Pelodiscus sinensis: one gene and its partners. The protein of the gene in region 3 interacts with the protein of the main gene of each other region in a pairwise test. Links are inferred from orthologs where the notes say so. Each region holds a gene or a part of one and is shown on either strand. Other genes may lie near its edges.

Region 1 (7,086 bases), on a different chromosome or scaffold from region 3:
GCTGCCCCTTGCCGAGCTTGCCCAGTGCGTTTCGCTGCCCTTGGGGCTGGCCACTGACGGTTTGCTGGATCTGGAGTGAGCCAGCCCAGCCTGTGCACCTGGTTCTTACTACATTTCAACTGTAGAGCTGCAGCGGGGGTAGCCCCTGGAGGCTTCTAACCCTATTGACTAATTGTGTGGTACAAGATTAGCTGATTCTTAACAGCCCTATTTTCTAGTAGTAACTGTACAATGAGAACAGTATCAGTTATATATTAATATATCATAAAATGAAATGGAATGAACAGTTTTACAACATGATAATTCTACAGGGTTCTGTCAAGATTCTTTGTGAAGAAATTTCTTATTTTCTCATTTGGACAGTCTTGTGTTAAATCTGCTCTGTTCCTGATCCTGATAAGGTTAGACAAGGAAATTCATTCTATACTTCAGTATCTCCATCTGGAATATGGGGATAATACTGACATCTCACAGTGCAGTATGAGGATTAATTAATAAGTGCAAGGTGCTTAGATATTATAACATTAAAATGACAACTAGAGTGGACAAACTGACTTTTCTGTTAAATACTAATCCTTAAACAATTGAGAGAAACTTTTCATATAAAAGCTTGTTTCTAGATTTATAATGTATGTAATCCTCTAAGTAATCTTTGAGTCAGAGTGGATCATTATGGCTTGCCATTTTAAAATTTTATTTATCCTTCCTATGTGCTAAAAAACAGGCTATATAAATTCTTAAATAGAAGAAAAAATATACATTTCTGCTTGGAGAAACGTTTGTAAAATAGGCTAGATGTACTAAACAATGTTTGAACAAACTCTCAATTTATGAAATAAAGTGACTTGTTACGAACCAACAAAACTTTCCATTCATCATAAACCTAACTTGTTCCGGGACACAAATTAACCAGAAATAATAATAATAATTATGGCTCGCCAAGCAGCGGCGAGCTCTGCTCGCCACCTGCACGATTTCACGTGGTTCTGCACATGTGCAGATTGCTCTGCGCTGGCTCTTCCAGGTTGTAAGCTACTTGCCACAGATGAGTAGATTACATTATTTGTTGAGCCCTGATAATAATAAATAATAATAATAATAATCATCATCATCATGTAAGCCAGTACATTTTATTGTATTGGTTTAGTGTTAGAAAAAAAACCCAGAAGAGGTCATGAAAATTACAGTATTTTTCAAGTTGAGAACTTTCTGTACTAATGTCATGCAATTAAAGTATGTCAAATTTGTTTTATATACTCTCAATAATCTTGTCACAGTAGTACTGTATACTTTTAATTAATCAGAGAGAATACATGTTTTAAATTATGTCTTTCTACAAAGGCTGCCTACCAGTGCCACTTTATTACTGGCGCACAATTTGAAAAAAAAATTAACCCCCCCCCCCACAAAAACCCCAAACCTTCAGCCATTTAAAACTCCTACTTTGTTTATCCCTAAAATTCATACTTTACATTTTCAATTATCTTTTGGAACAATGACGAACCCGGAAGAGATAAAGAAAAGAGACTTTTGTGAATGCTGGGTATTTTATTTCCTACCAGCTATATACAGATCTTGGATTTCAACTGGAACACTGCAAACCCAACAGACACTCTATTTAGCACTTTTTCTGTTCTCTTACTATGAAAACACAGGAGATGTTACCATATATTAAAACTCTCCTCTCCAGATTTTTTTTAACAAAAAATTGTATACAGTATGAACTTTAAAAGAAAATCAATATTATCTCGGTACCAGATCCTACTTCCTACCTCCCTTGTGCTACAGTATGTGAACTATTCAGTTTTGTAAGAGTTCACATCTACCTTGTTAACATACACATGCGATGCTGCTGAATAGTAGGCTCAATTCTTGAAGACACTAAGAACATTCAACACCCCATAGAAGTGGAGGGCTTAGCACTTTGCAGCAACAGACCCATCATGGTGAAGAGTATTTTGACAAAGGGTCTGGATCCGCTCCAACTGACTCCAGTGGGAGTAGGCCCTAACCCCATGCTCTACTAACCTGGTTGCGTGTTATCTTAAGTCTCCTGGATCACAGCCCATTGCAACCCAAAGGATGCTCTCCTGTCTACTGACCGACGCTCTTCACTTCACGGAGCAACAATGGCAACGCGAGCTGCTATCACAATAGCCAGGAATAACTCCGTGCCACACTCAGGGGAGGCTCTCCCCACTGCTGCCTACCACACACACTCGGGTCCGTAACGTTCGCAGGAAGCCGGGGCAGGCCCTGTAGGCCCCGCCACGCTCCCGCCCGTGCGGGTGCCGGCATCCCTGGCCGCAGCGGCGCGGAAGGGGGGGGGGGGGGGGGCATTTCACCGCGAAAGCCTGCTCACGAGCTTCCGCCGCGCCCGGCAGGGGCTCGCCGGGATGCAGCGCGGAGGCTCCAGGCCGCCCCTGGTCCCCCACAGCGCCGGGAGGGCAGAGGCCCAGCCGTGCCCTCTCCCCCTTCCCTCGCACAGCGGCGAGGCATGTCCCCCCCCCCGCAGGGCGAAGGTCTCGCAGGCCCCAAGCCCGCCCGCAGCTCCCTCAGACCTCGGCGGCCTCCCTCATTCGACCTCCCCTCAGGCTCTCCCAGGCCGCCGTCCAGCCCGGGCCGCTCTCCTTCCCGCACAGGCGGGGGGAGCCGCCGCCGCCTCCGGGCCCTCCCCTGAGGCCCGGCGCACGGTACCTTGTAGAAGGCCCCATTGGAGCCCCGCACCTCCACCACCAGCTCCTCCATGTTGTGCCGCGGCGGCTCGGTGCGGGATGCCCAGGCCCGGCGCCGCCTCTCTCTCTCCGGGGGAGGGTGGGGGGGAGCCTCGGTTCGCTCCGTAGCCGGAGGGGTGGGGGCGGGTCGGCTCCGGTCCTCGCCCGCGGCTGCCCGGAAATGAAAGCGAAACGGTCACCACCCGGCGGCGCGCGGGGGGGGGCGGTAGGAAGAGGGGCGCCCGCTTCGAATGTAAACATTAAACCCGCATCACGTGACAGGCCCCCCGATCGGGGTGGGAGGGGCGGGAAAATCAGCTCGCGCGAGCACGCCCCGCTCACGTCCACCTAACGGCTAGCCCGGCGCGCCCCTCCCTCACACACACACTCTCTCTTCCCCCAGCGGCGGCACGCAACCGAACCTCACGGCGCGACGGCATCCCACCCCTGCCGCTCACGCTCTGAGCGACTGCACCGCCACCCAATGGCGGCGCGCCATCGTCGTGCGCCGCGGCCAATGGGAGTGCCCGGGAAGGAGGCCGCGTGACCCGTCGAGGCGCCTGTTAGCACGGCGTTCAACGGCCCTCGGGAAGAGACGGGTAAGGGGGCCGTTAGTGGAGTTCGCGAGGAGAACGGAAGGGGTAGGGCTTGTGGCGCCAAAATAACGAGCGGGCGAGGCGGGGGAGAGAGGCGGGAGGTGCGGGGTGGGTGGCGGTTCGGGACCAGGAGTGGGGGAAGACCCGGGGGGGAGGGGTCTGAGGTGCGGGACCAGGAAAGGCGGAAGATTGGGGAGGCTGGGAGGGAGGGTTGTGGGGTGGGACCAGGATAGGCGGGAGGCTGGGGCGGGGTGAGGCGGGAGGGTTGTTTTGTGGGGTCGAGGGTGCGGGACCAGGAAAGGCGGGAGGCTGGTGGAGGGAGGGTTGTGGAGTAGGGCTGCGGGTGGGGCGAGAGGGTTGTGATGTAGGGTCCGGGACCAGGAAAGGCGGAAGACGGGGGAGGCTGGGGTGGGGTGGGGGAAAGGGTGAAGAGAGGCTTGTGGTGTGGGCTGAGGGTGGGGGAGGCTGGAGGCGTGGGACCAGGAGGGGGTCAGACTGGGGGGCTGGTGCTGGGTGGAGGGAGGGCAGTGATGCATGGCTGAAAGAGGGGAGAGGCGGGGGGGAGGGTGCAGCGCGTGGGAAATGTTGGCTGAAGAGGATTGTGGCTTAGCTGTCCTGGGCAGAGCCCTGGGTGGTTACAAAGTTGGTATCTGCCAAAAGAAAAAACCCATGGATGCTTACATTTGCCAGTGCTCATACCTATAAAACAGACATCCACAGGCTTGCATTTTTCTAGATACACAGTCTCTATCTGCCAATATGAGCCGGTGGGTATCTGTAACCACATACCACAGCTGCCTGTGATTTGCATCACTCTCATCATGCAGCAGGTGAAGTTGAGTTTTCTGTGCAGTGGTGCTAGGTTTAGATGCACAACTAAAGAAGGCCCTTGGCAGTGGAGGACTAAGCTGGCTAATCACCTGCCACGCATTTTGCACTAATTGTTTGATCTGAATTAAAACCCTGCAGGTGCTGTTAAGAAGGGGCCTATCTTCCTCTTGGGGATCTAACCCAAGCTCAGTTCTTCATGTTGAGAGTAAATGGAGGCTGTAGCTTGAGTTGTCTGCCCTTGTTAGCTGTTTCTCCTCCGACCTAGACCATTTCAGATGTTCTGCAGATCAAATCCGAAAGAGAGCTCAGGAAGCCCTTGTTAAATACAGGTGGCAATGTTGGGGACTGTTAGTGCTATTGCACAACTTCCACTCTTGGCTTGGACATTTATTGAAAGCACCATGCAATACAACAAACAGATACATTTAATACAAATTGTATCCCAACATAATATGTAAAAATGTACAATAGAGTTCAAGCAAAGTAGTATCTATTGCTTATGCGGAGTTTGTACACAGATGGTCTGGATGAATCTTCACTTACGGGATATATTCTTGGTGCTATTCAATAATCCTATATTAAGACTATGAAGCTATATCTACACTGCAGGTATTTGTCGGCAGAGAGTATGCTAATGAAGCACTGTCATGTACATATTCTCCGCAGATGCTTTTTGCGCAAAAACAAACAGTGTAGATGGGTCTGTTTTGCGCTAAAACCCACTTTTGCGCAAGATCTCCTATGCCTAAAAAAAGGCGGTATACAGGTTCTTGCGCAAAAGGTTTTTTTTGCACAAAACAGACCCGTCTACACTGCTTGTTTTTGTGCAAAAACTTGTTGCGCAAAAAGCATTGGCAGAGAATATGACAGAGCATTGGCAGAGCACTTCATTAGCGCACTCTCTGCTGACAAATACCTGCAGTGTGGATAGCACAGAAATCTCATGTTTTGCAAATATTCCTTTTGGTTCAATGGTTTCCTTTGCAAGTTACAGAAATAATATCTTTGTTTGTCTTAGTACTGTATCTGATTTTACCCCTACAAACTGCTGGATTTATTTAAAAATTTGTAGGGTGTGCTGTTTAAATGCATTATAACTCTGAGATTTTATTTTACATAAACACCAGATTTACAAACAGAGCAGTCAACCACATCCCTAATTTGGAACCAGAAGAACGCAATCAGGCAGCAGCAGAGACTCCACCCCTAAAAAGCAAATACACTACAATACTATGTTAAATATAAGCTACTAAAAAATGGAAGATTAAAAAAAAATTGGCACGGTAAGGAAACTGATTATAATGCTTGTTTCATTTAAATCAAGATGATTAAAAGTGTTTCTCTCTCCCCCTTCCCCCCACCCTGTAAGGTGTCAAAGCTTTATTAAGTCAGCGCTTAGATGTAAACTTTTAAAAGAACAACCATAATGTTTTGTTCAGAGTTACAAACCTTTCAGATGGTATCATGAGCTTTCGTGGGCACAGCCTACTTCTTTAGATGTGGTCATCTGAGGAAGTGGGCTGTACCCACAGAAGCTCATGTTAGTCTGTAAAGTGCTACCAGACTATTAGTCTGTACAGGGTAAACTTAAAACACAACAAACTCGGCTATCCCCTGAAGCTTTTAAACTTCTCAGAGTTAGGGATGTTAGTGAGTAGTCAATAAGCTTATGCTTATTGGGTAGTTGACTGGAGTATTGACTACTTTCTAGCCCTGTCTGCAGCCAGCCCTGGCTGCCATGAACAGAAACTGGTGTCAAAGCAGCCTCTGTTGGTGGCAGACAGAGCTGGCTGCTGCCAACAGGGCTCCTGGACTCAGCATGAGGCAAGACAGAGCAGTCCTGGCTTGCACTGGTCCGGGATGCTGTGCCTCTGCATTTTAAATGTAGTAAGAGCCCAGCACCTCTTACTACATTTAAAATGCAGAACTGGAGTGTGGGTGGCTCCTGGGAATATTCAGTCCTGGCTAGAGCCGGCTCCTGGAGCTACCCCGCTGTGACTGTGCAGAGTGGTCCTTCTTGACTAACCATGAAGTAGATAAAAATATTGACTACACAATTAGTCAGATAGCTGCAATTGAACATCCCTATTCAGTGTTATGAACAACTTCCGTTCTCAAGGTGTTTATAACTAAGGTTCTGCTGTACTCAAGATCTGCATGCACAATAGGGCTTGAAATCTGATTTATAAATATTAAATGATATTTTATATCAGAGGCAACAGCATAGGGGAGACGAGGTAGGCGGGAGCAGTTACGCACAGGGAGCCGGCTTAAATGCCGGCTCCCCACGCACACCAGCTCCCGGGATGTCTACTGCCACCTTGTGTGAAACGACTGAAATTTTCAGCAGTTGTATGGTTACTTAAAATATATTTTAACATCTTGACTATTATCCTCCAGATACCATGGTGCTACAGGTGAACTATAGATAAATTTTATAACACTACATTAAAGACACATTAAGATTGCAAGGTAATACACTCAAAAGTTAGGAAATGCCAGAAGTAAACTTGCATGTGTGAAAGTATTATGATAGTCAGTCATCTGGTATAATGAAATACTATTTTGGGGCATATAGATTTTTCTGCTAATTAAGGGACAAGAAGAGGAGGGAAATACTATTTTGATACACTTGTAAACTTTTGAAAATGTTAATTTGTTTGTCATGGCCATGTCTTCTGGGACAAAACTTATGACTCTAGGTGTGTCTTTGGACAAAAGCCATGCTTTAATATTTCGGCCCCTTTGAAGACAGTGATAAAACTGTTGATGTCAGGAAGTCCAGTATTGCACATGGTTTCTTTCATCTTCATCACTCTGTTCTTGAACAAAACACTTCCATGAGTGTTTACAGATTTCTGTGTATGCACTCACTCTAGCATGTAGGCAGAGGGTGGCTGCTAGTGTTAAACTTTTAAATATAAAAAATTTTAAACACATTTTGA
Region 2 (7,788 bases), on a different chromosome or scaffold from region 3:
CGCAGCGGTTACAGCAGGGCCGGGAGGGCAGTGGGGCGCAGGGGTTACAGCAGGGCCGGGAGGGCAGTGGGGTGCAGCGGTTACAGCAGGGCCGGGAGGGCAGTGGGGCGCAGTGGTTGGAGCAGGGCCGGGAGGGCAGTGGGGCGCAGCGGTTACAGCAGGGCCGGGAGGGCAGTGGGGTGCAGCGGTTACAGCAGGGCCGGGAGGGCAGTGGGGTGCAGTGGTTACAGCAGGGCCGGGAGGGCAGTGGGGTGCAGTGGTTACAGCAGGGCCGGGAGGGCAGTGGGGTGCAGCGGTTACAGCAGGGCCGGGAGGGCAGTGGGGTGCAGCGGTTACAGCAGGGCCGGGAGGGCAGTGGGGTGCAGTGGTTACAGCAGGGCCGGGAGGGCAGTGGGGCGCAGCGGTTACAGCAGGGCCGGGAGGGCAGTGGGGTGCAGCGGTTACAGCAGGGCCGGGAGGGCAGTGGGGTGCAGTGGTTACAGCAGGGCCGGGAGGGCAGTGGGGCGCAGCGGTTACAGCAGGGCCGGGAGGGCAGTGGGGTGCAGCGGTTACAGCAGGGCCGGGAGGGCAGTGGGGCGCAGGGGTTACAGCAGGGCCGGGAGGGCAGTGGGGCGCAGGGGTTAGCGGGCAGCCTAGGTTCTCTCCCAGCTCGGAGGGGGGTAAATGTTTGTAGGGAGTAGAACCCGCAGCTCTCTGCCTCTCCCCAGTGCTGGGGATATTTCCCAGGGGCCAGGGGCCTGGGGCCTGGGGCAGGGCCAGGCTGTGACAAGCAACCCAGCTCCCGTGCCCCTGCAGTGCCCACAGCAGGCGACATGAGCCCCTCCCCCCAGTGGGCAGCCAACCTGAGAGCAGGGCAGTCTGGCAGCAGGGCGGGGGCCGGGCCTGCCTCAGCCCTCCTGGGCACCAGCCTCAGGCCTGGCTCTCCCCTCACGCCCCTCCCGCCTCGTCCCATGGTCCTGCCACGGGGAAAGTTGGGCCCACGAACCCAGCAGTCCCATGACAACCTTACCCGGGCATTGTGCAAAGGGGGCACTGGGGGGCACTGGGGGGGCAGGGGCTGCAGTGGGGGGCGCTGGGGGCAGAGCTGGACCGGCAGGGGCTGGGGGGCGGGTGTGGGGAGTGGGACGGAGGGGGAGGGGCTGAGGCGCTCTGCTCCCGTCTTTCCCATCACGATGGAAGTCACAAGGTGCCGCGTTCTGGGAGCCGAGGGTCCCTCCAAAGCCGCATCCTGCCCCGGCCTCCCCCCGGGCCAGGGAAGGACACAGGGCCCTTTGTAGCTGCACCACAGACCTTTATTCCCCCGGCGCCCCCGCCCCTGCTCCATTTCTGGGGCTCCTGGCTACGGTGACCCAGGTGTGGCTGCCACGGCTCCGAGAACCAGGACGGGGGGCTGGGCTGTGGTGTCCCAGACCTGCCCCCTCCCCGCAAACCCACTTCCCCTTTTACACGGCTGCTTCCGCCCCCGCTTCACGTTTGGAGCCATTTAAGGCAAAAATGTCAAGATCTGCATGTTCGGCGGTTTCACAAAACAGCCCCCCCCCCCCCCCCCGGAAACAGAAAGGGGGGGGCAGACAGTTACCTAAGAAGCGCAGGGCGGGGCTGGCGAGGGGCCCCGGCAGGGCTGGGCCGGCAGAGGGGGGAGGGGGTCACTAGCAGGGATGGGGGCGGGGTTACCTTAGCCAGGGGCAGCACCATGAAGGCCCCTCCCCCACTGGCCTCCACGACAATGGCCAGGAACTTGGGGTTGACGGTGCAGAAGCCGCTGTCCCAGGTGGTCTGCGAGACGCGCACGTCGTCGTAGGACTGGTCGGCCTTCGCCGGCTGCCCGAAGACGTGGCGGAACTTGCTGCTGCGCACCACCTGCCGGCTCATGGCGGCTGGGGGAGACGCGCCGTTAGTGCTGCCCTCGCGCCCGCCGCCGCCTGCCCGGCCGCCGCCCCTCGCGCCCGCCGCCGCCTGCCCGGCCGCCGCCCCTCGCGCCCGCCGCCGCCTGCCCGGCCGCCGCCCCTCGCGCCCGCCGCCGCCCCCTGCCCGGCCGCCGCCCCTCGCGCCCCGCCGTCGCCTGCCCGGCCGCCGCCCCCTGCCCGGCCGCCGCCCCTCGCGCCCGCCGTCGCCTGCCCGGCCGCCGCCCCTCGCGCCCGCCGCCGCCGCCTGCCCGGCCGCCGCCCCCTGCCCGGCCACCGCCCCTCGCGCCCGCCGCCCCCTGCCCGGCCGCCGCCCCTCGCTCCCACCCCCCCCATCCCCCTGCCCGGCCGCTGCCCCTCACTCCAGCCCCGCCACCACTCTGCCCCTCACTCCAGCCCAGCTGCCCTGCCACCCCGTCGCTGCCCCTCACTCCAGCCCGGCCATTGCCCCTCTCTCCCACCCTGCCGCTATCCCTTGCTCCTGCCCCACCACCCTCTGCCTGGCTGCTGCCCTGGCTCTACCTGTAGGTAACTGGGTGTAGCAGCATCACTCTGCAGAGACGGGAAGGGTCAGCCGAGAGGGCCCAGGACCTCCCTCCCTCCCACCCACCGGCCAGAGCAAGAACCCAGGAGCCTGGCTTCCCCCTCCCCCCCCCCGCTCTAACCATCAGACCCCACTGCCCTGCCCAGGGCCAGAACCCAGGAGTCCTGGCTCCCCCCCGCCCCGCTCTAACCATCAGATCCCACTGCCCTGCCCAGGGCCAGAACCCAGGAGTCCTGGCTCCCCCCCGCCCCGCTCTAACCATCAGATCCCACTGCCCTGCCCAGGGCAAGAACCCAGGAGTCCTGGCTCCCCCCCCCCCCCCCGCTCTAACCATCAGACCCCACTGCCTCTGCTCTCACCAGTTCCAGGCACTCTGGTGTGACAGTGAATCTGGAGGCTGAAACCAGCACCTTTTAAGGGTGGGGGTGGGGCCTCCCAGGGATAGCACAGCCTGGGGGGGGAGGGGCCAGGACACTCCCTCCCACTTCCCAGCCAGGGGCTGGGCGGGAATCCGCTGCCAGTGGCAGAGGGGTATGAGCCTGGGCACAGGGACCCCACCCCCCGCCTGTCCCCCCGTGCCCTGCTTGGGCCCATTTAGCTCCCCCCCACCTGCATCCCCTTACACACACCCATCTCCCCATGCCCTGTCTCGGCTCACCTAGATACACCCTCCCACCTCCACCCCCTTACACCCCCACGTGTCCCCCCAGCATCCCCTTACCCCCCCACCAGTCCCCCATGCCCTGCCTGGGACCCCTAACTACCCCCCACCAGCATCCCCTTCCACCCCCCCACCAGTCCCCCATGCCCTGCCTGGGACCCCTAACTACCCCCCACCAGTCCCCCATGCCCTGCCTGGGACCCCTAACTACCCCCCACCAGCATCCCCTTCCACCCCCCCACCTGTCCCCCATGCCCTGCCTGGGACCCCTAACTACCCCCCACCAGCATCCCCTTCCACCCCCCCACCAGTCCCCCATGCCCTGCCTGGGACCCCTAACTACCCCCCACCAGCATCCCCTTCCACCCCCCCACCAGTCCCCCATGCCCTGCCTGGGACCCCTAACTACCCCTCACCAGCATCCCCTTCCACCCCCCCACCTGTCCCCCATGCCCTGCCTGGGACCCCTAACTACCCCCCACCAGCATCCCCTTCCACCCCCCCACCTGTCCCCCATGCCCTGCCTGGGACCCCTAACTACCCCTCACCAGCATCCCCTTCCACCCCCCCACCTGTGCCCCATGCCCTGCCTGGGACCCCTAACTACCCCTCACCAGCATTCCCTTGCACCCCCCCCACCTGTCCCCCATGCCCTGCCTGGGACCCCTAACTCCCCCTCACCAGCATCCCCTTCCACCCCCCCACCTGTCCCCCATGCCCTGCCTGGGACCCCTAACTACCCCTCACCAGCATTCCCTTGCACCCCCCCATCTGTCCCCCATGCCCTGCCTGGGACCCCTAACTACCCCTCACCAGCATCCCCTTCCACCCCCCCACCTGTCCCCCATGCCCTGCCTCGGACCCCTAACTACCCCTCACCAGCATCCCCTTCCACCCCCCCACCTGTCCCCCATGCCCTGCCTGGGACCCCTAACTACCCGTCACCAGCATCCCCTTCCACCCCCCCACCTGTCCCCCATGCCCTGCCTCGGACCCCTAACTACCCCTCACCAGCATCCCCTTCCACCCCCCCACCTGTCCCCCATGCCCTGCCTCGGACCCCTAACTACCCCTCACCAGCATCCCCTTCCACCCCCCCACCTGTCCCCCATGCCCTGCCTGGGACCCCTAACTACCCCTCACCAGCATCCCCTTGCACCCCCCCACCTGTCCCCCATGCCCTGCTTGGGACCCCTAACTACCCCCCACCAGCCCCGGGGCTGAGGCTGGGGGGTGTTGGGAAATCAGACCCGGGGGGCCCTGAGGCTGGGGGGGGGGGAGGGGCCGGGGAATCAGACCCGGGGGGCCTTGAGGCTGGGGGGGGAGGGGCCGGGGAATCAAACCCGGGGGGCCCTGAGGCTGGGGGGGGGAGGGGCCGGGGAATCAGACCCGGGGGGCCCTGAGGCTGGGGGGGGGGCCGGGGAATCAGACCCGGGGGCCCTGAGGCTGGGGGGGGGGGAGGGGCCGGGGAATCAGACCCGGGGGGCCTTGAGGCTGGGGGGGGAGGGGCCGGGGAATCAGACCCGGGGGGCCCTGAGGCTGGGGGGGGGGGAGGGGCCGGGGAATCAGACCCGGGGGGCCCTGAGGCTGCGGGGGGGGGAGGGGCCGGGGAATCAGACCCGGGGGGCCTGAGGCTGGGGGGGGGGAGGGGCCGGGGAATCAGACCCGGGGGGCCCTGAGGCTGGGGGGGGGGAGGGGCCGGGGAATCAGACCCGGGGGGCCCTGAGGCTGGGGGGGGGGGGAGGGGCCGGGGAATCAGACCCGGGGGGCCCTGAGGCTGGGGGGGGGGGCCGGGGAACACCCGGCAAGGTGCCGGCGTGGGCAGGGGCGTGGCCAGGTGGAACAGTGGGCGTGGTCGGAGAGGAGCTCCTCGAGCGAGGGCGTGGCCTAGTACCGTAGACTGGGTCTGGGGGCGGGGCCTAAAGCGGCAGAAGCGAATGACAGGGCACAGCACTTCCGCCTTTCGATGACGTCAGAAGCAGCGCTCCAATCCGGGCGCGTAGCGGATGGCGGCGACGTGACGCGGGCCGTCGGGCAGCCCGTGCGCCTGCGCAGAGCCGTCGGGCGGGGCGGTTCCGGGTGCGGCTGCGGCAGCGGGATCGGAGCGCAGCGGCCATGGCGGCGGCGACAGCGGCGGCCCCGGGGGGGCCCGGGCCGGTGCCGGGGGCGCCCAAGCTGGGGGTGGAGTCGGTGAAGGGGCAGGTGTTCGACGTGGGGCCGCGCTACACGGACCTGCAGTACATCGGGGAGGGGGCGTACGGCATGGTCTGGTGAGCGCCCCCCCGCCGCCCGGGCCCCCCCCCCCGGGGCTGCGGGGCGCGGCGCTAACCCCGCCCCTCCCGTCCCCGCAGCTCCGCCTACGACCACGTGAGCAAGGCGCGCGCGGCCATCAAGAAGATCAGCCCGTTCGAGCACCAGACGTACTGCCAGCGCACGCTGCGCGAGATCAAGATCCTGCTGCGCTTCCGCCACGAGAACATCATCGGCATCAACGACGTGCTGCGCGCCGCCGCCATCGAGCACATGCGCGACGTGTATCCTGCCCCGCCCCTGCGCGCGCCCGCGCCGGCCCCTGCGCGCGCCCGCGCGCCCCGCCCCCCGCGCGCGCCCCGCCCCGCGGCCGTTGTGCCCCTTGACCCCGCCCCCAGCTACATCGTGCAGGACCTGATGGAGACCGACCTGTACAAGCTGCTGAAGACGCAGCAGCTGAGCAACGACCACATCTGCTACTTCCTGTACCAGATCCTGCGCGGCCTCAAGTACATCCACTCGGCCAACGTGCTGCACCGCGACCTCAAGCCCAGCAACCTGCTCATCAACACCACGTGCGACCTCAAGGTGGGCCCGCCCCGCCCCCTCGGCCCCGCCCCGCCCCCGCCCCCTCGGCCCCGCCCCGCCCCCGGCCAGTCCAACGTGCTGCACCGCGACCTCAAGCCCAGCAACCTGCTCATCAACACCACGTGCGACCTCAAGGTGGGCCCGCCCCGCCCCCGCCCCCGCCCCCTCGGCCCCGCCCCCGGCCAGTCCAACGTGCTGCACCGCGACCTCAAGCCCAGCAACCTGCTCATCAACACCACGTGCGACCTCAAGGTGGGCCCGCCCCGCCCCTCGGCCCCGCCCCTCCGCCCCGCCCCTCCCCGCCCCCGGCCAGTCCAACGTGCTGCACCGCGACCTCAAGCCCAGCAACCTGCTCATCAACACCACGTGCGACCTCAAGGTGGGCCCGCCCCGGCCCCGCCCCTCGGCCCCGCCCCCGGCCAGTCCAACGTGCTGCACCGCGACCTCAAGCCCAGCAACCTGCTCATCAACACCACGTGCGACCTCAAGGTGGGCCCGCCCCGCCCCTCGGCCCCGCCCCCGCCCCGCCCCCGCCCCGCCCCCGGCCAGTCCAACGTGCTGCACCGCGACCTCAAGCCCAGCAACCTGCTCATCAACACCACGTGCGACCTCAAGGTGGGCCCGCCCCGGCCCCGCCCCTCGGCCCCGCCCCCTCCGCCCCGCCCCCGGCCAGTCCAACGTGCTGCACCGTGACCTCAAGCCCAGCAACCTGCTCATCAACACCACGTGCGACCTCAAGGTGGGCCCGCCCCGGCCCCGCCCCTCGGCCCTGCCCCCTCCGCCCCGCCCCCGGCCAGTCCAACGTGCTGCACCGCGACCTCAAGCCCAGCAACCTGCTCATCAACACCACGTGCGACCTCAAGGTGGGCCCGCCCCGCCCCCGCCCCCGCCCCTCGGCCCCGCCCCCTCCGCCCCGCCCCCGGCCAGTCCAACGTGCTGCACCGCGACCTCAAGCCCAGCAACCTGCTCATCAACACCACGTGCGACCTCAAGGTGGGCCCGCCCCGCCCCTCGGCCCCGCCCCCGCCCCTCGGCCCCCGCCCCCGGCCAGTCCAACGTGCTGCACCGCGACCTCAAGCCCAGCAACCTGCTCATCAACACCACGTGCGACCTCAAGGTGGGCCCGCCTCGGCCCCGCCCCCTCGGCCCCGCCCCGCCCCCGGCCAGTCCAACGTGCTGCACCGTGACCTCAAGCCCAGCAACCTGCTCATCAACACCACGTGCGACCTCAAGGTGGCCCCGCCCCGGCCCCGCCCCTCGGCCCCGCCCCCTCCGCCCCGCCCCCCGGCCAGTCCAACGTGCTGCACCGTGACCTCAAGCCCAGCAACCTGCTCATCAACACCACGTGCGACCTCAAGGTGGGCCCGCCCCGGCCCCGCCCCTCGGCCCTGCCCCCTCCGCCCCGCCCCCGGCCAGTCCAACGTGCTGCACCGCGACCTCAAGCCCAGCAACCTGCTCATCAACACCACCGTGCGACCTCAAGGTGGGCCCGCCCCGCCCCCTCCGCCCCGCCCCTCCCCGCCCCCGGCCAGTCCAACGTGCTGCACCGCGACCTCAAGCCCAGCAACCTGCTCATCAACACCACGTGCGACCTCAAGGTGGCCCCCGCCCGCCCCGCCCCGGCCCCGCCCCCTCCGCCCCGCCCCCAGCCAGTCCAACGTGCTGCACCGTGACCTCAAGCCCAGCAACCTGCTCATCAACACCACGTGCGACCTCAAGGTGGGCCCGCCCCAGCCCCGCCCCTCGGCCCTGCCCCCTCCGCCCCGCCCCCGGCCAGTCCAACGTGCTGCACCGCGACCTCAAGCCCAGCAACCTGCTCATCAAACACCACGTGCGACCTC
Region 3 (6,834 bases):
GGGTGGTGCAGGGCTGTTGGCCAGGCGACATTTAGAGTTCCAGCCAAAGCCTGACTCTGGCACCTGTGCCTCTCCTGCACCCCACTCCCTCCCCCAGTCACCATCCAAACCCTCTGCAATCCCTGTCCCAAGTCACAACCCCCTCCCAAACCCTGTATCCCCTGTTATACCCCGTCCCCCAGGCCAGAATCCTCTCCTGCACCCAAACACCCTCCTAGACCCTGCACCCCAATCCCCTGATCCAGGTCACTTCCCCCTCCACCCAAACTCCCCCTCAGACCTCGCTGCAACTCCTGCCCCCCAGCTCCTTACCCCAGGCACCCTCTGCACCCAGCCTCCATCCTAGAGCCCACATCTCCTCCACAGAAAAGTGCAGCCCTTGACCACATTGCAAAATCTTGGAGTGGCCCCCCATCAAAAATTATTGCCCAACCCTGTTCCACACCCAAACTCAGGATGAAGGTCTCATGTTGGTGTCCTAAATATTTCCCTATCTAGGGACAGACATGACCAAATAAGTACTACAGAGAGCCCAGTCTGCACAGGCTCGCTCTACCTGTTTTTTTTAAAGTCATAAACTTCTAGTAACGATCACACAGATGGGAATGTGAAAGAATGTAGTAAGGCCTACCACAGGCGGCTCTTACTGCATTTAAAAGGCTGAGCCGCAGCAGAGTAGGTCCGGGATCCAACGCGAGCCGGGACTCAGCAGTTCTAGCTCACACCAGGTCTGGGACCTACCCAGGAGCGGCCCGAGGCCGGCAGCAGCAGCTGGTGCCCCAGGCAGAATGCGGGATCGGCGCCCCCTCCTGCATGGCCATCAATGGTGTGATATCATCATCGGGTGCTCCGGGCGCCCTGTGACGTCATCATCAGGCGCCCCAGGCGCCCCATTAAAGCCAGCGCCCTAGGCAACCGCCGAGTCTGCCTATACTCATGCGCTGCCCCTGGACCTATCCCCACTGCAGCTTTGTAGTGTAAATGTACTAGGAGCCAGGCTGCCTGTGTGCACGGCTCCTACTACGTTTCAACTACAGAGCTGCAGCAGGGCCTTTTATCGACTAACTGTGTACTCAATACAAGTTGTATTAAATACACAATTAGTTAATTACCCACTTCTTAACATCCTTAGTTACAACTCCCTCCTTCACCCGAACTCCCTCTCAGACCTCACACTGTCTCCTGCACCCCATTCCCTTACCCCGGGTACCCTTCTGCACCCAACCTTCATCCTAGACCCTGCATCCCCTCTACAGAAAAGTGCGGCCCTTGACCAGTTTCCAAAATCTTGGAGTGGCCCCGCACCAAAAATTATTTCCCACTCTGACTCAGAGGATGGCTTTTCAATGCTTGGCTTTACAACCTTAATAATGTTATTTTAAAATAGGGTTTTTTGGGAGGAGGGGGAATTGCATGTAATTTAAGCATAATTTTCTCAATACATATGTATAGATTCCTATGTGTGTATCTAACTACTCTCTGTATATTCATGTACAGGCATGGAGACTCCCAATTACTGAAGCTGGAATGTACAGTACATATATTTCATCATGGCATAAATGCATGAAGTTTTACTGAAGAAATGAACTCTACCTCACTCACTCCTGAGTTTTGCAAAAGTCCGCTCACCTTTTATTGAACAGTCCCTACTCTCAGCCCTTCTAGCAAGCCAATTAATGCCAGAATAAGAATTTATGTTAATATTCAGCGAACATTTGGTGTGCACTGTCAGACTGGAAAATTCAGTATGATACCATACAGCTTATCAGCGCTAATGAGATCATGCCTATTGAGTGCATAACTACTTTTGGTTTTGTATCCAAAATTTTATTACTATGGTTAAAGGGGTCATAGAAGTACTTCAAGTATTAGTTCAAGTATTTCAATTGTGTGTTAATGAACATACATCATAGTTATAGTCTCTATTTAGTCACATTTTAAGGCTTCTAAATGACAATGTGGGTTTCTTTCTCTCACAGAATCAAAACTGTCGGTCATCACTAAGCATATTGAAGCCATTTTAGACGTTGTAACCATTGGTGTGGTTTCCAAATTGCCATTTAAAGCTCTTGCTGTTTCTGTTAGTTCCTATCCGGTCACATTTTTTCTGTGATTTTATTGATTTCCTGGCAGTTAATTGTTAAGCTAACAACATTGTATTAAGAATATTTTCTCATTTTTTTACCTTTTCAAACGTATCAGGAACAAACAGCCAATTTCCAGCAAGATGATAGGCTCACTGGCCTCTTGGTTTAACAGACATCAAATAGAGGTGAACTGCAAGAAATTTTGTGAAAAACATTCCATCCTCCAGAGTTATATTTGTGTAACTGAGAACTCAGTCTAGCCTTCTGCTTTTACACACAAACACACAGTCACTGAAAATATGAAAGTGGAATTTAGACTTAACACATTTTGCTGTAACTAAAAATATTGATAAAAGGCAGAAAATATATATGCCACAGGCAATAAAATATATCATGTTTATATCCCGAGTGTCATGAAATATTAAAACATTAAACAGGACAATAGTCTTGAAACATATTGAAAAAAAGTCTAACTCTTTCATAATTTAACAACCAAAAATTCTGTTTTACACACTATAAATTATCTGCTACTAAATCAAAAAATGAAATATCAAGTATTTTGCCTAGAATATTGTAATTCAATTACAGAAATTAAAACAAGTATAATTAAATGTGTTTGGAACACTCCTGCCAAAAAAAGAGTCGGGATTATGTGGTATGTTTAATTTACAAACATAGATACAATTATAATGCAGTATGTCTTGAGCCCTTGAGGTTCAATAATCCAAAACACATAAAATCAACTCATACTGCCTAAAAACTTGCCTTATCTTAAGAATCCATACATTCTTCTTATAACCCAGATGAACCAAACTTTACATCTATTTTTCCTAGCACAAATGAATTCACATGAAGGTAATTCCCTGCCAGTTTCCTGTGACTGCAGCTGGAAAACTTATTAAAGTAATTCTAAACAGTTTCTCAAATGACATGTCAGCTGTGAGCAAGAATGACAAATATAGATCTGTCCTTCAGCTTCACACTACTTAAGTGTCACCAGGATGAATGTCATACACTGAAAAAAATGACTCCAAAAGTTTGTGGGGTTCCCAGGCTTGATGTATTTTAAACAGACATGGAATGCCCCCTTAAAAACAGAGAACTCTGTGCAGATATTATTAAAAGCATCTGATGTGTCCATCAGCGAATCTAAATATGATGTTTTGCAAGGTTGTGAGTCAAGAATAAGCAATATTTTTTGTACCTTATGTAGGGTGCATAGTCCCTCTCTCTCTTTCTCTCTCTGCCTCTCCCTCTCCCTCTCTGTGACAGGCAGGTATGCACTGACCTAGTTAAGTTTAAATATCTGTTATCTTCTTCATAAAAGTTTAAATGGCACAACCCTGCTCCCACTTCAGTCAGTAGAATTACTGCCATTTATTTCAATGGAAGGCAAGATCAGACTCTAGAAAGCATTATGGTAAAAGTAATTAACTTGTATCTATATTTTTAATTGCAATAATTTATATAAATATCAATATATACAACTTCAGACTACCTGGGGGCTGAAAATAATAGAAAAAACAGCTGCTAGCTAGGTAAATGCACTGCTCATCTGATTAAAGAATAGCCCCCATATTATTAATAATAATTATAAGAAATTATTTAGATTGCAGTAGCCCTTGTGATGTATGAGTCCACACACAAATCCACTGAAATTGAAATATGTAATACTCTGTAGCTTGCAAACAAGCCACAGAATGAGCATTAACTGCAGGTCTTGAATGCCATTCAAATTATTCACCTGTTTCCTTTCTTTAACTGGCATAGTTTTGTGCTTAAAAGGACAATGAAGTTATTGCAGCTTCATAAATATCTGTTGTGTTTCACTGACCATGCAGTCCCACAACGGAAAATTCTGTACCTTGTGTTATTTTTTAGTTTCCTCCTTTCTTTTTCTCGCTCCTGCTGTGATCCTCCCAAGTAATGAATTATGAACTAACTGCTAGTGTGTCCACGCTCATTCTGCATAGTCCCCTGGCATTTCCTCTTATTGTTTAAGTCAGAGAGGAAGTACTTCCAAATGAATGATGCAGCCAACCTCAGTATTTTGTCTAAGAGTGTCTGTATTCATTTTCAAATTAGAAGCAAATGTTGCTGTTATCTTGCTGCAAATCTGCAAAGATCTCCTTAAGGTGCCCTGATGCAAAGCTGGCATACATGGCACATGCCCTTATTTTGTAAGGCCACAACAGACTATTGGGTGAAATTCACTGTTGTACGGTGCCTGAAGCAGGGTTCTGGACCACCTAAGTCAGGGGTCTCCAAACTTTTTAAGCATAAGATCACGTTTTGAATTTAAGTGCAATTCAAGATCTACCTCAAACCCAAACACCCTTGCCCCGCCTCCTTTGTGCTCCTTGCCCCGCTCTCCCTGAGGCCTCACCCCTGCTCACTCCATCCTCCCTCCCCCATCCTCATTCACTTGTACCAGGCCAGGCTAGAGGGTTGGGGTACAGGTTCTGGTCTTGGGTTACGGGATTTGGAGCTTGAGGGACTCTGAGCTGAGCTTGGGCTAGGCAGTTGGGGCGGAGGAGGGGTTCTAGGTTCAGGCTCTGGGAGGGTGTTTAGATGCATTGGGGCTCAGGATTAGGGCAAGGGCTTGGGGTGCAGGAGGGGGTTCATGACTGGGGTAGGGTTTCGGGATGTGGGCTCCAGCTGGGCACTGTTTACCTCAGATGTCTCTTGGGTGGTGATGCAGTGGGGCTAAGCCAGGCTTCCCCCTGCCCTGGCCCTGCACCACTCCCAAAAGCAGCCAGCAAATTATATCCCAAATCCTGTTGTGCCCCCCCTCCATTCTGTGGAGATAGGATAAAGAGTGGGAGAAGGGGCAGATTGACATCAGTGCCACCTCCTCTCCCTGCCCTGCATAGAAAGCAGGAGGCTCCTGGGGGAACAGCTCCAAGGCAAAGGGCCGGAGTTGTGCAGCAGTTGGAGGAGGAACAGCTGACGTGCTGGCACTTGATAGCCGTGTGGCCAAAGCAGTCAGGATCACCTGTCAGAGGCCCCAAGATCTACCAGTAGATCCCGATTCACTGGTTGGTGACCACTGATTTCCTAATTCCTACTTAACCCCTTAAAAAAGGAGCTATTCATGGGAATCAAGCCTTGTGCCGATCCTCTACACAGAGCTGCATTTCACCTGCAGTGTCTCTGATTAGTTTTTTGCATGCTTCAAGTTGCTCAATTTGAAGGAAAACGTGGTGTTTGCTTATAAAGTGAGTGTATCGGTTTGAAAGTAAGTAAGTTCTATACTTGCAGCTCTTCTCACTTGATACCTTGACTGTTTTGTGTCAAAGATCCCAAATGATAGCACCTCATTTCAGGGCTCAGACTGAGTTTTTATGCATTGGTATGCTATACCGTCACTTTTCTAGTGACCCCATACGTTTCTCCAGCGGCAGATATAGGGCAGGGCGAGTGGAGCAGCTGCCCCGGGCTTCAATAGGCCCCGTACACGTGCTACTACCTGTCGAATGTGGCCGTGGCGCATGCGCAAAATTATGCTGCCCCGGGCCCCGCAGTTCAATAGGCCCCGCCTGCACTCTGGGCCCCACAAAACTTTCATCCGCCCCTGTGTTTCTCTATCATTTTTGCTCCCCTTTTAAATTAAGAAGGCTGAGACAATCTTCAGAATTTGAACTGTTGCAATGTTGGGTCTATAGATTGGGACCAGTGTTCCTCATAAGCTGACCTCTCAGGTTGCCACTTAGGAGAGATTCAGATGCTGCCCAGCTGATTAGCAGAGCACCCACCACTTCCCATATCTGGCAGTATGTGTTTCTAGTGGTGGTGCACATTGTGCATGCTTTGGCGCACAAACAAAATTTATTCTGCATGTGGATGGAAAAAATTAGAAGGAACACTGATAGGGACACTAGCTTTAAGAGAGATGTGGGTTTCCTCCTTTACCTGAAAGGGGTATTAATGCTGAATGCTAATAATTACAATTTAAATATCAATGTTGTTAACTCTTTTTCCGCTGATTTTGGCAGAAACATTTAGCAACTCTGGTGTTGAGGGCAAAGTACTATCACCTTTTCTTTCATTGTGACCCCAGCTCAGTATGATCTTTCATCCAAAAATTGCCATTTCTAGTAGCGGCATCGTCTTAATACCATGCTGAGAGAAAATAGTGCTGAATTGCTACTACATCATTGTAATCTCCCATCCATCAAATGAACCTCTCCAGACTGCCTTAATTTATAAGAGCTGATACCTTTACAACAGTATTATATGACTGCAACTGAAGATAACCTTCTGAACATCTTACTAGTGTTATTCTTTCCAGAATCAGGTCCTAGATTTGCTATATACTGTACACAGCTCTGTATTTCTTCTTCTGCATCTAAATGACAATGCCTTTTGAGTCAGTGGTTTTTATTAGTAAAGTATCGGTTATCTATGCAATTATATTTGTCACATATCCCGGATAACATGTATTGATGTCTTTCCATTCGTGACTTAACCAGGGGCAGATGACCGTTTTGCGGGGCCCCGGGCAGCATAATTCCGCAGGGACCCCCTTTGCCATGGCGCATGCACAGTGACGCCATGCGCATGCGCAGCGGTGCCACGGCGCATGCGCGGGGCTTTCTGAAGCGCGGGGCCCGGGGAGGCCGCCCCGTTCACCCTGCCCTATATCCGCCCCTGGACTTAACAATTGCTCTTGATTTCATGCAGAAAACTCCTCAGTGGTATCTAGATGCCTCACTATCACTGAAATCAGTGACGCAGACAAGACGAG
Region 4 (7,253 bases), on a different chromosome or scaffold from region 3:
AAAGGGAGGAGACCCAGGGTAAGCCCCTCCCTGGAGGCTGGTCTCTGGGGAGACAGGGTGGATCCTGGGGAAAGCTCCTCCCAATCCGGGGGTTGTGGGAATAGTGGGGGCTGCAGGAGAGGGGAGACCCAGGTGAAGCAGAGTGGGGAGAGGTTAGGGGGGAATGCCGGAGAGCTGGGACGGGGGGCAGAAGCCATGGGCAAGGCAGGGTGGTTAAGCTGGGTCCTGCTGGGGCCTAGGGCAGGAGCTGGGAGCAAAGAGGGAACTGGGGGCAGAGGAGGGAGCAGGGCTCTGGGGGAGAGGAGGGGAGGGACCCAAATGGGTAGCTCATTCCTGGGTACTTTCTGCCTCCCATTAATCATTGTCTCCCCCTTTGCAGAGGCCTCCCCCAGCCCGCAGTGGGGAGCTGCCCTGCAGGACCCCCGGGTACTGCAGCCCCTGGCCATGGACCTGGGGCTGGTGATGCTGTTTGTGCTGCAGCACAGCCTCATGGCCACTGCGCTGGCCAAGCGCTGGACTGCCAGCTGCTTCGGGGTGCTGCAGCGATCCTTCTACGTCTTCTGCACCTCCCTGGCCCTGCAGGTACCCACTGGGGGAAGCCCTGGGCTGGGCTAGGAGGGGTTGGGAGTGAGGGGCACTGGCAGAGCTAGACTGTCAGGGGCTGCAGGTCGGGAGTGAGGGGAGCTCAAGGCAGAGGGCTGTGGGTGGGGGTTGAGGGGCACCGGAAGAACTGGGGGGATCCCAGGGTCTGGGGTAGCCAGGCTATGTGGGCACTGGCGGAGCTGGGCTAGCTGAGGGCTGTGGGTTGGGGCTGAATTAGGGCACCAGCAGAGCTGGGGGTGGGGCAGGGGGCAGGGCCAGACTAGCCAGGGGCTGCAGGTTGGGAGTGAGCGATGCTGGGGGCACTGGGCAGGGCTGGCAGGGGCTGCGGGTCAGGAGTGAGGGGCACCGACAGAGCTGGGGGGGCTAGTAGGTAATGGGGGGGCGGAGCCCAGGGCAGGGGGCTGTGGGAGGAGGTGAGGGGCACAGGCAGAGCTGGGGGGAGCCCGAGGCTGGGTCGGGACTGAGGGGCACCGGCAGAGCCATTTCAAATGGGGCTCCCCCGCAGCTGCTGATGCGGTACTGGCAGCCCGTCCGGCACGGCCCCCTGCTCTGGGACGCCTGCACGGAGCCCTGGGACACCTGGGTCCCGCTCCTCTGCTTCATCCTGCACTTCATCGCCTGGCTGGTCATCTTCAGCGTCATCCTCATCTTCGACTACGCCGAGCTCATGGGAGTCAAGCAGGTATCTCGGCCCCACGCAGCCAGGGCTGGAGAGGTGCCTGGCTCAGGAGGGGTGTGGAAAGTGACATGGAGCCTTTCCCCCTCTAGGGGGCGCCAGATCCAATGTGGCTCCGGCCTGGGGGACTAGCTGGCTGTGAAGGCGACATGGAGCCTTTCTCCTCTAGGGGGCGCCAGATCCAATGTGGCTCCAGCCTGGGGGACTGGCTGGCTGTGAAGGCGACATGGAGCCTTTCCCCTAGGGGGCGCCAGATCCAATGTGGCTCCGGCCTGGGGGACTAGCTGGCTGTGAAGGCGACATGGAGCCTTTCTCCTCTAGGGGGCGCCAGATCCAATGTGGCTCCGGCCTGGGGGACTGACTGGCTGTGAAGGTGACATGGAGCCTTTCCCCTAGGGGGCGCCAGATCCAATGTGGCTCGGGCCTGGGGGACTGGCTGGCTGTGAAGGCGACATGGAGCCTTTCTCCTCTAGGGGGCGCCAGATCCAATGTGGCTCGGGCCTGGGGGACTGGCTGGCTGTGAAGGCGACATGGAGCCTTTCTCCTCTAGGGGGCGCCAGATCCAATGTGGCTCCGGCCTGGGGGACTGGCTGGCTGTGAAGGCGACATGGAGCCTTTCTCCTCTAGGGGGCGCCAGATCCAATGTGGCTCCGGCCTGGGGGACTGGCTGGCTGTGAAGGCGACATGGAGCCTTTCCCCTAGGGGGCGCCAGCTCCAATGTGGCTCCGGCCTGGGGGACTGGCTGGCTGTGAAGGCGACATGGAGCCTTTCTCCTCTAGGGGGCGCCAGATCCAATGTGGCTCCGGCCTGGGGGACTGGCTGGCTGTGAAGGTGACATGGAGCCTTTCCCCTAGGGGGCGCCAGCTCCAATGTGGCTCCGGCCTGGGGGACTGGCTGGCTGTGAAGGCGACATGGAGCCTTTCTCCTCTAGGGGGCGCCAGATCCAATGTGGCTCCGGCCTGGGGGACTGGCTGGCTGTGAAGGCGACATGGAGCCTTTCCCCTAGGGGGCGCCAGCAGGGATCCAGCTCTGCTCTGGAGCAGGGCGTGTCTCAGCTCTGCCCTTTGCCCCTCCCCCAGGTTTATTACCACTGCCTGGGCATGGGAGACCCGCTAGCGCTGAAGTCCGTGCGAGTCCTGCGGCTCTACTCCCACCTCCGCCACCCCGTCTACCTGGAGTTCCTGCTGGTGCTGTGGGTGGTGCCTTGCCTGTCCCTGGATCGCCTCCTGCTGGCCAGCCTCTTCACCCTCTACCTGAGCTGCGGGCACGCCCTGGACCAGCAGGACTATCTCTACCTGCGCGCCCAGCTGGATAAAAAGTTCCTGGTCTTCTCCCGCGAGGAGGCTGCCTATGGGGACCTGCTGGCCCGCAACGGCCCGGCGGCTGCCAAGGAGAGCTGAGGGGCCAGGGCCTCTACCATGCACTGAGGCTCTGAGCTCAAGAGTCCTGCACTAGTTCCTGTAGAATTAGCTCCTCTGAGTGCCTAGCGTCTGCAAATGCCAAGCCAAGCCCTGCTCTAACCACTAGGCTCCACTCCCTCCCAGAGACAGCAGTTCCCAGCCCCCCCCTGCTCTAACCACTAGGCGCCAGCCTCCTTGCATCGGATTTTTAAGTTCAATCCCCAGCTCTGGGAGAGGAGTGGGGGCTAGTGGTTAGAGTAAGGCAGGCTGGGAGGCAGGTCTCCTCCATTCTGTCCCCAGCACTGGGAGGGAAGTGGGGACTAGTGGTTAGAGCAAGAAAGGGTTGGGGAGCCTGGACTCCTGGGTTCTCTTTCCCAGCTCTGGGAAAGGAGTGGGGGCTAGTGGTTAGAGCAAGAGGGGGCTGAGAGGCGGGGCGCCTGGGTTCCATCCCCAGCTCTTGAAGGGGAGTGGGATCTAATGGTCGGAGGCTTGACTTGAGGCTGGGAATCAGGACTCCTGGGTTTTACCCGGCGGCTTTACCCAGCATGTTTTGTTTCGAGCCGCACTTGTGGCTGCAGAAAGAGTCTCTGAAAGTGTGTTTTGAAACACAAAACAACGATAAATCTGTGCAGAATTCAGTCACACACTGGGGAGTGGGGCTTATTCTGGACTTGGCGAATGGCATGTCCCCTGTAGGGGGGCTCGGGCTCTGATCCAACACCAGGGTGGGGGACTGGCTGGCTCAGGAGATTGAGGACTGGGACGTGGCACCTTTCCCCTTGTGGGGGGGGGTCCCTTTTCCAACTCTCTTCCCTAGGAGCCAAAAGCCATTCCCGCCCGCCCACCATTCTGTGCCTTGTGGTTCACACTGACGGGTTCCCGGACCAGTCGTCTCCTTTGGGCACTTCACCGCCCTCTTGCTGGCGGTCTCAGCAGTGAGTAGCAGCCCGGTTGTGGGGTGGCAGGGGCTGAGGGGTGGCTCGTTCTGTGCCCAGGACCCCAGTCGCTGGGCATGAAACTAGGAGTCAGGACTCCTGGATTCTGGTCTAGCTCTGGGAGTGGAAAGGTTTAGAGCAGGGGGCTGTGAGTCAGGACTGGGGGGGTCCTATCCCTATCCCCAGCTCTGGCAGGAGATGGGGGGCCTAGGACTTAGAGCAAGTGGGCTGGGAACCAGGACTCCTGGGTTCGATTCCTGGCTCTGGCAGGGGATCCCAGTGCCTTAACCGGGACCCTTTATTTTTAAGCACCGAAGGGTTTTTTTAACATGGTCGTCTTCGCCCAAAGCTGATAAAGTATTTTTGTATTTCTGATTTTTGTGCGAGCTGAGAGAACTTTTTTTTTCCCAAAATTAAAAAAGAAAAGTCGCTGCTGCTTTTACACACTTGTCTGCCTCCTGTGTTCTCCCCCCAGCTCGGGGAGGGGAGAGGAGTCTAATGGTTAGAGCAGAGGGGTAGCAGGGGGCCAGGACTCCTGGGCTCTCTCCAGCTGTGGCAGAGGAGTGGGGTCTAGTAGTTAGAGCAGGGGGGGGCAAGGAAAAGGGGGGGCTGGGAGTCAGGATTCTTGGGTTCCTTTCCACTCTCCACTTGACATCGAGAGTCATTTGTCCTTTTCCTCTGTGTCCTTAACTGTGAAACAGACCAGAGCTCGGCAGTGCAGGGGACAGACCTGTTGCTATTCCAGAAACACGCTGCTCTGCGAACACTCAAGAGCCTGTGGCAGACAAGCCGGTCGTTGCGGTACTCCCTGCCGGAGGACGGGGTTAGTACGGGCAAACTAGCCACGGCATTGCACTATGGAACAATCCACTGAGCACACTACTGGTTTTATACCACCACTCGCCATTAGGGGGCAGTATTAGTACAGGCACACAAAACAGCGTTTCTCTTGTCTCTCCACTAGGGGGCAGTGTTAATTCAGGCACACAACACAGCGTTTCACTGTCTCCCCGCCAGGGGGCAGTGTTAATTCAGGCACACAACACAGCGTTTCACTGTCTCCCCGCCAGGGGGCAGTGTTGATACAGGCCCACTCCCGAGGGCATTTGCTCCATTAGGGGGCAGTGTTGGTACAGGCAAACTAGTGTGTTTCACTGTGTCTCTCGCCTGGGTGGTGTTGGTACAGGCGAACTAGCTATAGCAGTGGTTCCCAACCTGTGGGTCTGTGATGGTACTATAGGGGGTCCACGGAAAGTTTAGGGAAGGAAAAGAAAAGCAAGGATCGGGCCCACTAGGGGACTGGGATTTTCTGCCAGGCGATATTCACCTGGGGGTCACCGTTCATGACTGGCTGCATGCACACTGCCTCCCACCCCAATCTTGATACCCCAGGAGGCACCATCTGTCTGCCAGCTGCGCTGCTGTTTACGCTCCAGCCCTCTCCCCACTCCTAGTCCCGATCCTCTTTTTTTTTCCCCTCCTCCAGTGCTCCATGGGGCAGAAGCTGCCTTTGGCCAGGAGATTCCCCCTCACTGTATGCTCCGCAGATGGGCAGGGGCTAGAGGGGGAGGGATAGCTCAGTGGTTTGAGCATTGGCCTGCTAAACCCAGGGTTGTGAGTTCAATCCTTGTGGAGGCCATTTGGGGCAAAAATTTGTCAGGAATGGTACTTGGTCCCACTGTGAAGGCAGGGGACTGGACTCAACTGAACCCTTCAAGGTCCCTTCCAGTTCTAGGAGATAGGCATCTCCATTAATTTACCCACTAGGGGGCAATGTTGCTACAGGCTGACTAGCTATCAAATTTCACTGTCCCCCCACCAGGGGGCCATATCGGTACAGGCAAACTAGCTAGAGAGCTATACCCAAAAAAGCTCAGGATCCCATCTACATATTTTGTTTGTCATTAAGATGCAGCTAGACTATTTGTTGTTTTTCAAGTTTTTCTAGCTGTAGCATTTCACTGTCACCGCCTGTAGCAACACCGCTAACTAACTATTCCATTTTAATTTCTAGGGACTAGGGGGCGGTGTCGGGACAGGCAAACTAGCAATAGCATTTCACAGTCTCTACCTGTTGGGGGCAGTGTTGCTACAGGCAAACTAGGTACTGCATTTTAATGTCTGGGGACTAGGGGATGGTGTTGGTACAGGCAAACTCGCCTCAGCCGTCTGTTACATCTCTGCATTACGGGGGCCATGTCACTCTGTCAATGGTTTCAGGGTACCCAGGAGATGGCTAAGATTTTCAAGGGGTCTATTCCACCATTTGAAATTTTTCAGGGTGGGGCAAGGTTGAAACCCACTGCTCTCTGGCAGGGTTTCTAGTCCCTCCCAGGAGGATGGTGGGTTCGGTGTCTGTCCCCCATGGCTGCTTGTAGCCAGGCAGGCAGGGGCCTGGCAGTTCCCAGGCCTGAGGCCGGGGGCTGGGCCTATGACACAGGCCTGCCGGCATGCGTGCGTCATGCATTCCTGCTGGATTAGAGGCTGCAGACAGCTGGCGGGGAGGGAGCGGCCTTCACTAAGGCGCTTGTCTGATCTTGAAGGGTCAGGCAGGGTTAGCGCTGGAACAAGGGAGCAGAGCAGGGGCTCTGTAGGGGGCGCTGACCCCCGGCGCTCAGGGTTGATCCTGACACCCTGGTGCAGTATCGGGCCGGGCGCGGGGGAAGTTTGTAAATATCCTCATGTCCTGTTCCCACGAGGTGCGGTGGCACCGCTGCTGTCCTGGCCTAATTCCCACACAGCTTACTGTAGTCTCGCCCTACAGCCCACCGTGCTTTGCGATTGTAACTGGCCTAGGGAGCCCCCTCCTAAAATGTGGGGCTGTTACTTCTCTGTCCCTCCCCAGAGATGGCTGCATCCCAGGGGAAGGGTTTGGAATTTTTCTGTTAGCCTGCAGCAAGGTTTACATGCTAGGGGTGGGTTTTCTTGGAAGAGGTGCCCTTTGCCTCACCTGGCATGCGGGCGCCTGCCTCTCCTTGTCCTCCTTACCTCACGGAGACTTGGGGTCCCAAATGGTGCAATTCCTCAACCAGACCTCCAGGGGGTGGTGGTGTATTAAAAATCCCGCCTGTTGCTGTGCGACCCTACCAAAATAAAAGTGTCCTTCCCAGGGCTCCCTGGTGTAATCAACAACCCCCCCCCCCCCGTATGCCTGAGAGACCCTACAATAACACACAGGTCTGCACAAGGGCACCAGCATTTGTGTTGCCTTACAACAAATCAGCAAGGGAACCCTACAATAACAAATAGGGTGGTGGGGGGTGCCAGGGCAGGTCAGCCGGGAGCCAGCAACTTCTGAGATGCTGGATGAGGCTGCACATCAATCCGCTGCCATCCACCACCCCCAAGCTCTGACAGCCCAATTTCTACCCCCTAAACCACCATCTGCAACTCTCTGTACCCCTAGAACCACTGAGAAATTGCTCCCCCTGCTTTAAATCCCCTGCGCTCAGAGGTTCTAGGGACCAAGCCGAAATCCTCACATCACTGTCCCCCGATCTCTCAATGCAAATAGCTGGGCACTCCCCAGATCAGAGCCTGACCCCTAACAGCGGGGCTGGAATACTGTGTATGGGGCAGGGCTGAGAACCACCGGACTGAACTGTAAACTCTACATAAGATGGAAACCACTTCAAACCA

What was found.
Region 1: the proteins of FSD2 (region 3) and FMR1 interact in binary tests that used the Homo sapiens proteins (3 or more experiments, as listed by UniProt). The link is inferred for Pelodiscus sinensis from reciprocal best matches to the Homo sapiens genes FSD2 and FMR1.
Region 2: the proteins of FSD2 (region 3) and CORO1A interact in binary tests that used the Homo sapiens proteins (3 or more experiments, as listed by UniProt). The two-hybrid records come from large-scale screens. The link is inferred for Pelodiscus sinensis from reciprocal best matches to the Homo sapiens genes FSD2 and CORO1A.
Region 4: the proteins of FSD2 (region 3) and PPP1R18 interact in binary tests that used the Homo sapiens proteins (3 or more experiments, as listed by UniProt). The two-hybrid records come from large-scale screens. The link is inferred for Pelodiscus sinensis from reciprocal best matches to the Homo sapiens genes FSD2 and PPP1R18.

The regions. Positions count from the first base shown.
Region 1 is NC_134723.1:40,628,135-40,635,220, reverse strand, and holds the start of FMR1 (fragile X messenger ribonucleoprotein 1), read right to left. Parts: upstream 3,015-7,086; 5' UTR 2,749-3,014; coding exon 2,698-2,748; intron 2,694-2,697; exon of another isoform or gene 2,540-2,693; intron 2,473-2,539; exon of another isoform or gene 2,029-2,472; intron 1-2,028.
Region 2 is NW_027465967.1:95,101-102,888, reverse strand, and holds the start of CORO1A (coronin-1A), read right to left. Parts: upstream 3,008-7,788; 5' UTR 2,808-3,007; intron 2,457-2,807; exon of another isoform or gene 2,427-2,456; intron 1,878-2,426; 5' UTR 1,873-1,877; coding exon 1,675-1,872; intron 1,297-1,674; exon of another isoform or gene 1,291-1,296; intron 1-1,290. Other genes in the region: MAPK3 (mitogen-activated protein kinase 3), read left to right, coding at 5,225-5,379, 5,461-5,643, 5,758-5,947. UniProt on the Homo sapiens protein: May be a crucial component of the cytoskeleton of highly motile cells, functioning both in the invagination of large pieces of plasma membrane, as well as in forming protrusions of the plasma membrane involved in cell locomotion.
Region 3 is NC_134724.1:20,217,470-20,224,303, reverse strand, and holds the start of FSD2 (fibronectin type III and SPRY domain-containing protein 2), read right to left. Parts: upstream 3,010-6,834; 5' UTR 2,853-3,009; intron 2,379-2,852; 5' UTR 2,186-2,378; intron 111-2,185; exon of another isoform or gene 1-110.
Region 4 is NC_134742.1:11,552,955-11,560,207, reverse strand, and holds the start of PPP1R18 (phostensin), read left to right. Parts: upstream 1-4,237; 5' UTR 4,238-4,437; intron 4,438-7,253. Other genes in the region: NRM (nurim), read left to right, coding at 380-582, 1,109-1,285, 2,359-2,679.